Lonchura striata: one gene and its partner. The protein of the gene in region 2 purifies or fractionates together with the protein of the main gene of each other region. This does not show direct contact. Links are inferred from orthologs where the notes say so. Each region holds a gene or a part of one and is shown on either strand. Other genes may lie near its edges.

Evidence for each region.
Region 1: the proteins of TGFBR2 (region 2) and SMAD7 purify together in Homo sapiens (affinity purification with western blotting; 3 studies listed by BioGRID). This does not show direct contact. The link is inferred for Lonchura striata from reciprocal best matches to the Homo sapiens genes TGFBR2 and SMAD7.

Annotation. Positions count from the first base shown.
Region 1 is NC_134642.1:1,802,711-1,810,976, reverse strand, and holds the start of SMAD7 (mothers against decapentaplegic homolog 7), read right to left. Parts: upstream 3,121-8,266; 5' UTR 3,036-3,120; coding exon 2,525-3,035; intron 1,616-2,524; coding exon 1,562-1,615; intron 1-1,561. UniProt on the Homo sapiens protein: Antagonist of signaling by TGF-beta (transforming growth factor) type 1 receptor superfamily members; has been shown to inhibit TGF-beta (Transforming growth factor) and activin signaling by associating with their receptors thus preventing SMAD2 access.
Region 2 is NC_134603.1:116,137,153-116,144,763, reverse strand, and holds the start of TGFBR2 (TGF-beta receptor type-2), read left to right. Parts: upstream 1-4,306; 5' UTR 4,307-4,350; coding exon 4,351-4,444; intron 4,445-7,611. UniProt on the Homo sapiens protein: Transmembrane serine/threonine kinase forming with the TGF-beta type I serine/threonine kinase receptor, TGFBR1, the non-promiscuous receptor for the TGF-beta cytokines TGFB1, TGFB2 and TGFB3.

The DNA of each region.
Region 1 (8,266 bases), on a different chromosome or scaffold from region 2:
TGCTACCTTATGTCAACACTTGCTAATGAATAAATATATCATTCGGCTAACTGAAAATGAGATCCTGGCAGAGGCAGATTGGATGTTTAAATCCTGCAAATAGATTTTATCCTAACATCTTTATAGGAAAGCAAAACCAAGCTTTAACCCTTGTCTCCTCCAGCTCCAAACCCCCTTTGCATCCCATGCCAGGATCATCAATGAGTGCAGAGAAAAGCCATAAAGGCAAAAAAAATAGGAACTTTTGGGGGAGAACTGCAGGGATGCAGCCACAGTTATGCAAAACCCACAAAAAGAACCCAGCAGACCCTCAGAGTCTATTGCAGAACAACACTTCTGCATCCCAGCACATGCTGTGGATGCTGAACCTACTTCCGATGTCCCTCTTGCATTCACCAGCCCTTATCTCCTGGTTTTTTCACAAGTCAAGATAGTTCATGCTTTGCAACCCAATTGTTTGTTAAACAGCTTTCTTTATTTTCACAAGGCAAAAAAAGACTCCTTAGTGTTCCCAAAGAGTTTGCTGAGGGGGAAAACAACAGTCCAGCCTCTGGGGAGCAGTTGGCAGGATGAGACCCCACCACCACACCAGAGCAGCCTCAAGGCTGGGGTTTCTTTTAGCCCTGAGACCCTGCAGAGAGGTGATTTCACAGGCACTGTTCTTTTGGCCAAAAAACCCCAACCAAACACTCTGATGCTTTTCTTCAGAAATATCTGTGTATCTACCCTTGCCACCCTGCAGTGCCGTGCCTCCCCTGTCTGCCACGACCGCGGGACGCGACCGCAGAGACCACCGTGCTCCAGCCCACTCCAGAGCCACTAATCCTCAGGAAGCCAGGAGCTGCTCCTCCCGAGCTCCCCACGTTTCCGACTCTCCCCACCTCTCCTCCTTCTCCCAGCCTCATTTATCTCACACCCAGCGAGCTCGCTGCCAACCAAGAGTTTATGCAGACAACCGCAAAAGAGCTGGTGCCAGCCTCAAATGGGCTTCTCCCCTGGCACCCTGACATTCAATTACAAGCGACAGGCATGCACAGCAGTGCTAAGAAATTTAAATTTTAAAAAGGTTAAAAAAACAACATTTCAAACTCTTTTCCCGGTTTTTTTTTTTTTTTCCAAGATGATGTAGTATTAGGCTTCTATAAAACTTAGAGAGATTTTTAACCAACCAGTCCATCTGTCAAGGTTCACTGGGATTCCCAGGCATCAGGGAGATGCTGTGCTGGATCCCAGCCTAAATCCCTAAAAATTCACCCAGGGGTGAAGAAGCACTGCCATTTCCAACTGGAGCCTATGGTTTTCCTGGCTGATTCAAGCAGCACAGGCCTGCACTGTGCTGCAATCCCTTCTGAAGTTTACTGCCATAGTTTTAAACCCCTACTTTGTGCACAAGGTGGCTTAGACAAATTATATGCTAATTGTTATAGGGGTAGCAGGAGGCACGGCACACAAGCAACCCAAAAGCAAAATGCATGACAAAGGCAGGAGGCTGTTTCCCCGATAAAGGAACTATTTTGCCATTTTTTATCTCTTACACTTGCATTGAAAAAAATCCACTTACCAGTTGGTTTGAGAAAATCCATTGGATATCTGGAGTAGGGTGGAGGGGGAGACTCTGGAATTAGAGAAGTACAGAGAAAATAAAGGCAGAGCCATGAGAAAGAAAAAAAAAAAAAAAGAAAAAAGATAGGAACTTATGATAACAGTGGCATTCTTTTAGCAAAACTGTTTGTCTTAGCTCTGGGGGTTGGAGGCAGGGCAGCGAGGCGGTGATTGCCTTGATATTTAGCTGTCAGATAAACAAAAGGGGCCGTCTGGCGCCAGTCTCCCTGCTATCTGCCGCTCGGGCTGTCTGATCGGGGCCTCCTTGGCTCGGCGGAGCCGCGGCAGCGCCGGGGCCGCCCGGCCCTTAATCCCCCGGCACCGCGCGGGGACGGCGGGGAGGCAGCGCCGGGGCCCCCGGGAGGGGAGGGGGTCCCGGAGGTGGGGGCGTCGCCCCCTCCCCTAAATACAAAATGAAATGCATAAACCACGGCAACTGAAAGATTTTGTGCGTGTTCTGGGTTTTGTTGTTTGTTGTGGGTTGATTTTGGTTTGTTGTTTGTTGGGGTTTTTTTCCCCTCCAGAAGGGGGAAAAAAAAGTTTTGTGGGCCGGGAGGTGAGTGGGGCTGGATCCACGTATTTCTGTATCCCCTCCATACATGCATCCCCTGCATGCCCTCCAACCCCTACATACCTCCAGCCCCTGGATCATCCCTAGCCCCTGCACTCCTGCATCCTCTCCATCCCCTGCACCCCAGCCTCTCCATTCCCCACATCCCTGTATCCCGTCCATCCCTTGCACACCTCCAGCCCCCGCGCCGCTGCACCTCCTCCATCTCTTGCATGCCCTCCAGCCCCTGCACCCCTGAATCCCCTACAACCTCGTGTGACCTCTATTCCCCTATATTCCTACATCCCTCCAAGCCCTACACACCTCTAACCCCTTCAGCCCCCGCATCCGCCGCCATCCCCACCGCCGTACCTAGCTCGCAGAGCCGGCTGAGGTGGTGCGGGTTGCAGCAGACGAGCTCGGAGTGAGCCTTGCCGTAGGATTCACAGCAACATAGCCGCTTCACTTCGGAGCAGTGGCGGAGGTCGGGCCAGCGGAACACCTTGCAGAGCAGCACGGGCAGCGGGTACCAGTGCTGTCCCAGCCGAGAGTCGGCCTTGGCGGGCAGCAGCAGGCAGGGGGTCCGCGCCCCGCCGCGGGACTCCACGGCGTGCAGCAGCCCCTCCAGCTGCCGCTCCTTCAGCCGCTTCAGCACGGCGTGGGTCAGCGCCTTCAGTTCCGCCTCCGCGCCCGCCGCCGCCCGCCCGCCGCGGCCCGCCTTGCCCGGGCAGCACCCGCGCCCCCCGCCCAAGTGCGCCCGGGGCTCGGCCACCGCCGCCGCCGCGCCGGGCTCGCCCGCCGCCGCCTCCTCCTCCTCCTCGCCGCCGGGCGCGCGGCTCCGCCAGAGCCGCCGGACGAGCACCGAGCGTTTGGTCCTGAACATGCGGGACGAGAGGAGGGGCCCCCGGCTACAAAACGGGCATGTCGTCCGCCGAGCATGAAGGGGCCGGCAGGCGGGATGCGGCGGCGGCGGGGGGCAGCGGCGGGGGGCAGCGGAGCCGAGGCGGGCTGTGGCATGCGCCAGTCTCCGCGCTGGGGCCGCGGGTCCCGCCGCCTCCCGCGGGGGGATGCGCCGGCCGCGCCTCCGCCCGCTGCGAGAAAATTTACAGAAAAATCGAATTGAAAAGAAAAAAAAAAAAAAATTCAAAACTGAGAAGGAAAAAAAAAAAAAAAGGAGGGGTAAAATAAAGGTTGGGGGAAGGGAAGGGAGAGAGTCGCCGCTTGCTCCGGCTTTGCCCAAAAAAGCAAGGAAAAACCAAAAAAAAAAAAAAAATCCCCGTCTAGAGCCCGCGGCGCTCGTCGCGGGGGCAGGCGGGCGGGGGCTGCCGGCGCCGCGCCGCCGTGCGCGGGTGCGGAGCGCGGCCCGAGCCGCGGGGGAGCCTCGGCCGCCCCGGGGCCGCGGCGCCCATCAACCCGCCACGCCGGGGAGCGGGCGCGGCGGCAGGGATGCGGCGCAGGGCAGAGCCAGCAGGCAAAAACAAAAAGAGCGAGCCAAAAAGGCTATTAAAAAAAATGTTAAAAAAAAAAAAAAAAAAAGAGCCCCAAAACACCAACCCTAAGGTTTGGACGTCGGTTTAAGCATCTGTCACAAAAGAGGCGAACGAGCGCATCCAGAGTGTTGTATCCCTTTTAAAAAGCCCAGGTCGTCCTGATGTGGGGGTTTCGGGGTGGGCTTTTATTTTTTTTTCCCCTCCTTCTTTCCAAAGGTTTAATCCACACGGAGTCTTGATCCGGCTGCTACGAAGAGAAAGAAAGGAAATAAAAAAATAAAAAAATAATAAAAAAGGAGAAAAGTGGGGCTACGTCCCTTCCTTCCTGCCTTCCCCAGCAGCCGCGCCGGGCCGAGCCGGGCCCGCCGCTCCCGGCGGAGCTTACATGGGTGCGGGGGTGCCCGCCGGCCGCCGACCCTCTCCCTGCTGCCGGCGCCTCTGCCGCGGTGCCTTTTTTTTGCTCTTCACTCCTCCTTCCTGCCTTCCTTCCCCTCCTCCTCCTCCTCCTACTTCTCCTCCTCCTTTCGTGGGGTTTTTTTTTTTTTTTTCCTCCCCCTTTCCCCCCCACCCCTCCCGCCCCTCCGCTCTCCGCAGTCAGCCGCCCTCCCCGCACCTCCGCCTTCCCCCGGCGGCGGCGGCGCGGGGCGGGAGCGGAGCCGGCGCGGTGCCTGCGCCCTCGCCCGGCCCCCCCGCACCGGCGGCGGCTTCGCAGTGCGCAGCGGCCCGGCCCGGCCCGGCCCGGCCCCGTCACGTGGGCGTCTAGACACCGTGTCGCTCCGGGGGAAAAAAAAAAATAAATAAATATATCTATATATTATATTTATCTCCAACCGCCTTGCGCAAGAGGCGGCTCGGGTTGCGGAGAGGTTGTGGGTCCGTGCGTCCCCTCCCCGGCTCACCCCACCGCCGCCGCGCCCCGCTCCCGATGCTTCCCTTCGTACCTGCTCCTGGGTGGGGGGTGCGGGGAGACTGGGGTGTCCCCCCCGCACCCCGCGGGGCACAGCGTGGGGAGCTCCCGGGACTGGGGTGTGCCGGTGCTCGCTGTAAACATTGGAATATTAAACCAAATCAGCGTAAAAAATTTAAAAAAAAAAATCGATATGGCTCTGGGTATAGAACGAGGGCGCATCACAAAAAGCAGTCATAATAATGATGATGATGATGATAGTAATAATAATAATAATTTGTGCTGCTACAGCACCTGTCACCAGGAGGACAGGAAAATACACCATGGAGGCTCGGTACGCTCCGATTCCAAACACGAAGCAGCAATGACGGGCGAGTAGCACTCCGGTATTCGCGTTACGGGTGCTACTAAGCGGTAACAACCCCTGGCACCCTGGGCGCTCCACAGATTTCCCCCATTCCAATTCTGGACCGGCAGAGGGTGAGGAAAGCTGAGCCACCAAGAGGCTGCGCTCTCGTCCAGCCTTGCTGCGCCCTGCGGCCGGGCTGGGAAGTCCGGCCAGACTTCCTAGCGCCAGGCTTGGCAGGGCAGCAGAAGTCCCCAGGGGTCCCCGTCCTGCACGCACTCCCACGGAGGAGCAGCTCCTTTTTCACAGAATAACTGCGGGCGGATGGGTTGCTTTAAGGTCACTCTCCGAGGCAGTTATCGTGTCGGAAGTAGGAGCTGGGACTCCTAAATCATGGCTGCTGTAACCAAGTCGAGCTCAAATCCAAAGGCAAAGACATCCAAAACAAATGTTGCACCCAACTAAATGTGACGCTGGGTAGAGCACATATAAAACCAACGTCCCGTGCAGGCAGGGCATCCCTGGGGTGTATCTTCTGGATCCCTAAATTTGGGGTGGGCAGGAGGGCAGGGATAATTTAAGCACCCAGTTGCGCATATATTCACATGAGCAGGTCGGGGATGCCACAAACGGGCCTGGCATTTGAGGAATCTGCACCTAAATTAGTCACAAAGTGGCTAGATTTGGGCGTAGCCTTGTTAAATGTTAACAACACTACACCTAGCCAGGTACAAAATCTGCTCAAAATGCAGATAAATAGTTGAAAAAACACTGGGGAGGAAAGAATGTTATTTGCTGGCATCAGAAAGAATAATTTAGGAAGCTTTGTTACAAAGCTGGAGTTTGAGGAAGGCAATTTGGCTCCTTCCTTCACCTCCAAGTAATTAAAGGTGGGAGCGGAGTCCAGGGCGCAGCTCTACAGTCTTTAGGTGATAACTTGGGGTAAATCATAATAGCACCAGCATTTGGGTCTGTACCTGCAAAAAAAGTCCCATTGCTTTTAAAATTATGCCTTCTGCACCCTGAAAAATGGAAATTGGGTAATATTTTTAGTTCAACACTTTGTCCTACAGCCTCTGGAGTGACCTCACATACACTGAAACTGATTTCCTCACTTCCTCAGAGAACCTCAATTTCTTTTCCCTGTGATGAATATAGAAAATCAGGAGGGGGGAAAAAAGAGTTCCTTCTCATTCCAATATTTGCTGGTGAAAGACATGTTGGACACATTCATTAATCCATACGTTATACTTTTTAATTTTTCAAAACTTGCCAGGCTATTATAAATGAGATTAAAATCTCCTTTTTTAAATTTTCTCCATTGCAGCTCCACTTGCCTCATCACTGACAGCTACAATTACTTTTGTCATGAAGGAAGCAACAAAAAGTACAGTATGCTGTGTGATGTGAGGAGGTGGAGGACAGGAATGGGGTCCAGGAGTTAATATAATTTTTTGTCCCTGCCGTAGGTTCTCCAGGTGACCTGGGACACCTGCCTTTCCCTGTGAGTAGGGACCCGGGCTTTGGCACCTCTGATTTCCCACAGGTACAGCTGGGCCATCAGCGCTTGCCTGGTTTTGTGATCTCTGCAGTGGAAATTGCCCCAGAATTGCTAAATATTAAATAACTGATAAAGAACTGCTTTCCAATTAACCCTGAAAACTTGTTTAAACAGACCATATGTATGTGCCCATATGGAAAATACAGAAACAAGCATAATGAAGCCGATAAATCTGGGAAGGGGACCTGGGCCGAGGGGACGCTTGGAAAGCAGGGTGATACCCACAGCCTGCCCTGCTCTGGATGCATTGCTCAAATGTCACCCTGGGCCAGAAACCTGTCCTGAAATGCATGAAGGGCACTGTTAATCCCCGAGGAGAAATAAAATATGTTTGAGTCATAGAATTCAAGAATTGTTTAGACTGGAAGGGACCTTAAAGCTCATTTTGTTCCACCTCGTCTGTCAGGGCTGGGACACCTTCCACCAGACCGGGTTGCTCCAGCCCTGTCCAACCCAGCCTGGGACACTTCCAGGGATCCAGGGGCAGCCACAGCTTCTCTGGGCACCCTGTGCCAGGGCCTGCCCACCCTCACAGCCAAGGATTTTTTTCTTCCTACATAGTCTGAATCTCCCCTAATTTAGTTTAAAACCATCAACCCTTGTCCTGACACTTCAGGCCCTACTAAAAAAGTCTCTCCCGGTTTAAGCCCCTTTTGAGTGTTGAAAGGATTTATACAATGTGTTACATTTGTATAATGTGTTTGCACAACGTTTTGCATCCCTCCTGCCAAACACATTAGGTCCTGGATGTAAAATCCCGGCGAGCCCACCCTCCCCAGCCCCAGCCCTCCGTTCTCACGGGGGTTTCTGGGGACCTCTGCTGAACCCAGCTGGCTTTGAAGAGCTAAAGCCGGGTTGATTTGCATTGCAATTCAACCTTTGACAGACAGTTGGAGCCAAGGCACTGTTAACCTAATTGTTTTGCTAACAGCACCAGGGTGTGAGACTCACCAAAGGCACTTCCAACAAAGGGGATAAAACCAGACTTGGGAAAAAAAAAAAAAAAAAAAAAAAAGCCCTTTTCCTGACATCATTACCGGGTACAAACAAACAGAGCTGATCCCTCTTCATACACTTTCCAGGCGAGGGTCAATAACAAACACACTTTGCTCTTTTGGGGGTATGTCTCTCCTTTTCACAGCAGTGAAAAGCCAGTCAGGGGAGGTAGGAGAGAACAAGCCAGGCTGAAGGCAGGGGCAGAGGCAGCGCAGGCTGGCTCCTGGCACTCTCCCATCCTTTTGTGCACATTAGGAATAGCTAAGCTTGTGGCCCTGCTTCTATTTTTATGCATTATTTTGAGAGCAGAGCTCTCAAGCAATGCTCAAAGTCTGGGTTGTGAAGCCGTTTTGGCTGTAGCCAGTCTCCTTCCACTCCAGCAGCTCATTTCAGGAGAGCAGATTAAAGCTGAAACCCAAGGTCTGCAAAGAAAAACATTCTTCAAGCAACCTCCCTGTGTGGTGAGTGGCACAGGGAGACAAGGATCCCGTGCTCACTGCTGTCACACAGCCCTGCAAGCTAAAATCACCATTTCAGTGCAGGTGCTTCTGGCTGCTGGCAGCCATTCCAAGGCTGGTCTGTTGGAAAAGGATGCAAAAAAATGTGGGTACAAGGGGGAATTCACAGCACCCACCCCTGGGATGTGCAGAGGGACACAGGCTTGCTGGAGCCAGCCCAGAGGAGGCCACGGAGCTGCTGCCAGGCTGGAGCCCCTCTGCTCTGGAGCCAGCCTGGCAGAGCTGGGGCTGTTCCCCTGCACAAGAGAAGCTCCAGGGAGAGCTCAGAGCCCCTGCCAGGGCCTCAAGGGGCTCCA
Region 2 (7,611 bases):
GACAATGTGTTCTTCAGCCAATGATACACAAGACATCCTTTTATCAAGGATTCTGAAAGGATAATGCTCCATGCCAAGCACCCTCATTTTGAAAATTAGCAGGCAAATGCCAGTTTTGTGAATGCAGCACTGCAGTGAACAGAGTTTTTATCATTTGAGTTTCAAATTATATAGGCTTACAAAATTTGACTTTGATTTGAACTGAAATGCCAAAATTTGTCTGGAAAATAAACTTTTTGCTTAAGTGCAGTGAAATCAAAGTGTCAGATGTTGTTCCATTGTTCTTTTTTTTATACATAACATGGTGAGAACAAAAAAAAAATTCAAACTAATAGTCTGTTTCAAAACAAAACACAATCTGTATCACAACAAAAACATCAAAATGGGGCATGTCAGTGGTTCAAGCAGATTTCCTATTTTTATTTTGAAAGTAGTTATGACACAACATGTCCAGAGTCATCAGTGTTTTTAGTTGGGTCAAGATACTTATTCCAGTTACTTCATTAATAGTTTCAGTAAGGCAATATCAGCATCCTATGTACCTGTTTGCCTTGTGTCATTCCAAAAAATCACAGGCATTAACTCCAATGGCTGCCAACAGGTAAAGCACCTTGTAGCTTACTTTATGTGATGTATACAATTCAAAGAGTATTTTCTTTAGGATTCATGTCATCTAACATCAGTTACCTAACAAATAGATGTCTGGGCTAATTACGCTCCCTCTCATCAGCTCATTAAAATATCTAGACTCCTTTCCCTCCTTGGATGACCAAGGGAATGTGGGTGACCTAATAGCCTGCTGCCACCATAATGGCAATTCTGTTAATCCAGCATTTGTCCTCCATCCTTTGGTTATTGAACCTGATCTGGGACTATCCCATCACAGTGAAACAAACAGGACTGCTCCATCAGATTGTGAGAAAGGCAATGGGTTTTCACAGCCATCTCCTGGAACTTCAGTCCAAGGCTAACTTTTAGGCAGCAAAGTAAGTTGAGATGTCTTTTCCCACACCATAAATATCAGCTCTACACAGACATGAATATTATGTCATGCTAGTGCAACTGTATAGGCCTTACTTAATTCTGCTTTCGGGAACTATCTTGTTCTTGGATTCTTACATAAAACAACACTGGAGTTAATAAACCAATCAAAATAATTGCTTTATTGTGGACATCAGCAGCTTGTGGCTGTGAGCAGAATGGTTTTGAATGGAGTGTATGTTAAGTACAGTGAAACAACAGCTTTTTAGTAACAATGCATCTTTTGTAGATGCTTGAAAGTGTTTTTCTGTGAGGATAATGCTGTAGTTCACATGGGATTTTGACAGAAATAAGATACCGAAAGCTAGAAAATACTTAGACTAACAAAGAGACATCATTTATACTTGGTAGTTTTGTGGACTGTTTTAAAAGCCATACTTAAGACGTGCAGCAAAGAGCAGTTAGCATGTTTTCACTAGGAGACCCTGAAGTACAAGAGGTTATAAATTGCTTGTGCTCTCAGTATATATTTGAAAGGCTCAGAAAGAAAACACAATATTCAGTGCTTTGATATTTTGCCTTTTTGAGTGAGGAACTGAAAGTAGCTGTCTTACCTTACCCAGTCAGGCTGGAGATTATTATTTACACCTTTAATCTCCCACTCCTTGAAGAGGACTCTTTCTCTACCTCAATCAGGCTGAGGTTAAATACTCACAGTTTCAATCAAAAAGAAACTGCTATCTGAAAACAGGGAACTGGGAGCTATGAACAAGGAAATGGAAAGAAATTACCATTACAATTGTTTCATATATTTTGGTTGTCCAGGGAGTCCTGATTAAACTGCATTTGGGTCCTAACAGGGAGGTTTGTAGTACTCAAAAAGGCAAAATATGAGTTTTCACTAATAAGCCTGTCTGGGATAAATCTGTGAAGCAAAGTTGGCTTTACTTCAACTTCCACACAGGCTACTAGTGGCAATGATACTACTCTTCCCCTGAGCATATCCAGGTAAAATTTCCTTCCACTTTCTAGTAACATCTCTCACTCTCATGGATTCTCTGAACATCCAAAGCGCAGCTGTAGCACAATCCTCACTGCACGGTGTATCTGTAAAAATAAATGTAGTACTTACATGGAAATAGCAAATTCCTGAAGTCCACTTGTACTAGACTCCTCACTTGCTGGGTAACAGGTGCCATATCACCTCATGTGAGAGAAGGGCCAGTGATGCCTGGCTGCACCCAAGGATTTGAGACTATTGGAAACCTAAGTGCAGCCCTTCCCAAAGCCTCCATCTACTGCAAGCCCCTCACCTACTGCCAGACCCTGGATGAGAGAGACTGGGCAGAATATGGCTATATTGGAGAAGAGCCATAGCACTTATGTGAGGGAGAGAGATGCAAGTGACACAGAGTCAGGCTTGCAAAGTCACACCTGATTTGTGACAGGTTTGAATAGTAATACTAAATCTGTACTTATTTGCTTTTAAACTTGTTTTTTATGTTGGAAGGTAGTCACCAAAAACTAACAGGAGAGTTCAGCACACAGAGCCAACTTTCTAAGCAAATAGCAGCTCTTTGGCACCTGCAACTTGACAGCTCTGAGGAGAGAGAAGTGTACAGCATGCAGTATATACTTGTGTGAGTTGAGAAATGCTTTTGTTTAAGTGGATACTGAAAACACAGTCACATTCTAGCACATAGCTGGTGGACAGGAACTGATAAGAACACTCCCGTCTGTGCTCAAAGGGGAGTCTGCAACTTTTCTTATCTCTGGAGGGTGGCGACCACCACCTGTTTGAGTGAATCTTGACTATATAAAAAGAGGATGAGGGAGAGGAAAATGCTCTTGGAGAGAGGTTTATGAGACTTTGTACCATAAACTGAGACTTCATGGTGAAAATATGTATTTAGGGATTGTTTAAAACTAAGTTTACATAAAAGCACAATGATTTTTTTAAAATGTCTGTTACAGGCCAATTAAATTCTTTACGCAAACATTTCCAAATTCAAGCATTTCCAAATTCAAACAGAGTAAAACAGAGATGATCTGGGACATCCAGAGCATAATTACATCTATTCCCCCTGAGGGCTTAGCCCTCTTTCTGAAATACCCAGATCTGTATCTCTAACTAGTGTTGTAACCAAGACAAAAGCGAATCACCAACGTTGGAACAATCGCCCTCAAATTATCCCCATGTGCATCAGTTTACCCTTCAATCAATGCCCAGCCATTTAACTCGGAGAGGAAGGAAGACTGTGAGCTGGAAATGGTTCTCAATACAACTGCTGGCTACGCAGTGGCTGGATTTATACTGGCAGGGAGCTCAAGCTTTATTCAGATTCAAAACTGAATGGTTCTTACAGTCTCTGACAGGGCCATGAAAAGCTGGAATCACTGGCGTGGTCCTACTTTCTGAATCATAGGTGCAATTCCCTCTTGCAGAAAAGGCAAAATATCTGGTAGAAGTTCCTTTGGAGAGGGATGGAGACGAACTTAATTTGTGTCACCTACACAGGATTGGAGATAAAGTAATGTACAACCAGCCTATTTGGAAGCAAAATAAGCAGCAGGTGACAAGTTGTTCCAGTCAGCTCCAACATCTGGAAGCTGAGTGCCCAGCTAGTCTATGTGAATATTTCCTGCTGTTACCCTGACTTCAACCTCCCCGGCTCCCTGTTTTAGTTCATCTGGGGGTTACGTCCTTCTTTCTGATACTGCTGCTGCAGCATCGTTAAGGTCAGGGATACGGATGCGAGGAGGAGCTCTGCAAAGTCCCCATGTCCTAGATGACACGTCTGGGTCCTTTTCAACTCGCAGGGAGCGAGTAGTACCCCTCCGAGCTGGTGGTTTCCTGTCGACCTTGAGCCTCCTCGCAAGCCACGGTGCAGCTCCGGGCGGGTGGCTGTGCCCGGTCCCCGCCTCGGAGGGAGGCAGGCGCAGGGATCCAGCTGCACGTCGGGGCTGGCCCCGACGCGCTTGTGGTGGGAGAGCCAGACCTGAGAGGGGCTGGCCTCTGGCAGATGATTGACACCAAGCTGGGTGAGGTTTCATGTTAAAAAGAAAAAAAAAAAAAAAAAAGAAAGAAAAAGGAAAGAAAAAAGGGCGAGAGCAGGGGAGGGGGTGACTGTGGGAAGGGGGAGAAGGAACTACTGTAAGAGTAAGAAAGTCCTGCCCAGCTGTTTGCGAAGTTTAAGATTTCCTGTTTCCCCTGCAGCGCCGAAGTGAAGTTTCAGTGAGTCACCCTCGGTCCCGAGCAGCGGAGCGGCGCGGCCCCGCTCCCCGCCAGCCCCGCCACCGCCGCCGCGGCCTCCCCGCCGCCCCCGCGCCCTGCCCGCGGCTCGCCGGCCGCGCCGATCCGGCTCCGCGATGACTCCCCGGCTGCCGAGCAGCCTGCGGCGGCTGCTGCTGCGCCTCTCCCTCTGGGCGCTGATGGGCAGCTCGGTCCCCGCTCTGCTCCGGGGTAAGTGCGCGCCGGCCCGCGCTGCCGCTTGACAGCTGCTGGGGCCGGGACAAGCGGCGAGGGACAGGCGGGAGGCGGGGGACACGGCTGCTGAGAAAGTTTTGAAGCTGGAAACATTTCGGGAGGGGGTGAGCGTGTTTGTGGATGGCCCTGCGGGAGAGTAAGCGGGGAAGAAAGGACTGGGAATCTCGGGGTTTCGCGGCCGAAGCTGAGATCCGTCCGTGGAGGGAACAGCGGGGAGAAAGGAGCGGATTTGGCAGGAAATCGGCGGGGTCTGCTCGGGCCGGAGGAGCCCGGAGAGGGCATCTGGAGCCTGCCTGCGGTGGCCGGGGAAGGGCTGCAGGCCCTGCCCGCAGCTGATGCGGCGGCTCCGCACCTGGTGGCGGCCCCGTGCGCGGGGACGGGCCGGGGGCGCGGGCCGGGAACCCGCGGCCCCTTCGCAGCGCTCCGGCCCCGGCGCCGCCGCTCCGCTGGGCACCGCTGTCCTGCACCGCCGCGGCCACGGCTGGAGGTGCCTCGGGGGGCTCTCAGAGCGTGGCCACAGAGCCCGCTGCCGTGGGTCTGCACTTGGTCACCAAAACCTGGGGTTCCTGAGTTCCTGAGAAGAGCGGAGTTTAGCCGTGCCTGTGAGCAGTTGGACTGAAAAGCACTCATTCCTCTAGCACCGACTGCGGATGTTGTTTGACTCACTTTAAAAGTGACACTTTGTAATCTTTACCCTGCTTCTAGCAAGACATCCTTAGATAGGTTTTTGGGGTCTGCGGCTTGCAGTATTCTTCCTATCATAATTTATAATATACTATGAGCTTAAAGTTCTGCTGGAAAAAACAAGATTCCTGCTCGGAGCAGCTTTCCGTCTCTGTTCTACTAGCAGTTACCCACATCTGTGAATTAACATCTGTAATATCAAGGTTAGGCCCTAAATCACGTTGCAGAACAAGTGGTGAACCTAAAAGGAGAACAGGAGATTGTAGCAAATGCATCTGAAACACTTGTGAAGAATTAAGTAGCTTTCTAAGATGTCTTGTAATGGCACATCTAGTTTTAGTCTTCAGGTAAGGTGTGCAGACACCTGGGCTTCTACAAACTTTTCCCTGGGCCCTCTGATTTTCCTGTCTGGTCCCTTCATGGTCAGTAGTTGATCCCAAATTTTGGCTGAAACATAATAACATGAAGCGGATGACTCTTCAACAGCTACTGCCTTTAGCTATGTGCAGTTCTTTGACTAACTTCATGCTTCATTAACAGCCCTGTCACAGTCAACAGGTTGTGCATACCTGCAAAGTTACTCATGAAAGCTTAGGGCAAAAGAAAAGAACAGGGTATGAATGACACTATGGTGTCCCACAGCTGTAAGTTATATTAAATTTGAGGTGTGTAGCTTCTTGTTAATTTTATATATATATATATTCTATAATTCTTCATTAACATAAACCATACGCAACTTGTGATGGCCTTTATTTTGACCACAGCCTCAAACTTTTGCAGATTCCCATCACAAAAAACTTTAATGGAGAAGCTCAGCTTTTGTTAATCTTGTGTTATTTATTATTATACTTTTTTATACTCAATCAGCTATAGACAGTCTCAAACTATGGGTAGATTTTTTAAAGTGGGCATGGCTCAAGAGTTTGCTCTTCTTTCTTGTCATAGGTTCAGTGAGGAAAAAGAACACAAACTGGTTACAGTTCCAGCATTTTTCATACTCATCTTCATCTACACCCTAAAATAAAAAAAACTGAGTAGACCTGTTTTCAGATAATCTATCCCACAGCTCCAAAAGCTGTTTTGATAAACACTGTAGGATTCGACTGTGCAATAGAATTCTATTATGACAGGAAGAGCTGATCAGAAAGCAACAGTTCTGTGGAGCAGAAAGTGTGAGGTTTGGATGTCGGTAGTTATTTGGCACCAGAATAAAAATTAGAGCTGCCAAATGCTTGGGGGAAAACAAAACAGGAAAAAAAATAGTTATTTATTTTGTAAGAATTCATCAGTGTAGTAAAGCTGGAAAAAAAAGGACATATATCAGTCTCGGAAGAGCTCAGTTCCCAGGTGTGCCTACTAACTAACCAGATGGCTGGATAAAAAAGCACTAGCTACAATTTCATTTTAACATTCTTCACAGCAAAATAGACAAGACACATTCCCATAAAGATTTTGGAGAAACCCACAAATTCATGAAGAGGTTCAATAGGAATTATGAAAAAGAAAACTGTCATGGTCTGTACTACACAGAAGTAATTGACTTTTTTGCATAGAGTAAAGGGGCAAGGTGTGATTTTTTTGGAATGATTTTGAATGATTTATTGATCATTTTATCCATTAATGTCAGTGTAGAACAGCAGTTGTCCGTGTAAGAATTTTGTGTTAGTGTGTTCAAGTGAATATGAATTTGTAGTTTGTCTTTGGGTTATTGTAACCAGAAATTTGTTCCTTGGAATCATCCATGCAATAACTGTTCGTCTCTGAACATCAGGAACTTAATTTCTCCATTCAGCCAAGCTCTATTTGCATTACTGCTATTTTTTTGAAAGCCATATCAGAGGTAGTTAATTTTATAGTATGAAAATCAAATTTAGAGCTTCAGATGTTTGCAAAAGGGAAGTAGGAGAGCAAACATCTTGTAACGGGATGGAACATGCTTGTAACAGGATTGAGTCTAAAATGCATTCCTACCCCCCAGTAAAACTGGCATTTTTCCAGGTATTTCAGGAGGGAAGTAGGGATATATTAGAGATGATATTGAAATTTCTTCTATTTATGGGGTATCCTTGAATTGTGAGACTTTTATACCTAAGACTTTGAAAAACACTTTTGTTTACTTGCTATTTTTAATATTTAATTGGCATTAACATGCTTCTTTAATACTCAGGTGGTGAATTCCATATCAGAATGGTTTCTATTAAAAAATTATGAGCCAGATCTTAAGCTGCTGCAAATGAATACAGTATCACTAGCATTAGTAGAGTTATACAGAGTTATAGCAGGTTTTCTGAAACAGTTTCAAAAGTAATTAAAAAAAAAAAAGGCCAATGGAGTAACTCAGAGTTTTCATATTAATAGTCTTTTTTAACTCATATTTTATAAACACTATTATATGGCCTATATTTAGTAAAACAACATTGCTTCAAAATTAAATATTCCTTTCTGGGATGAAATGTTAC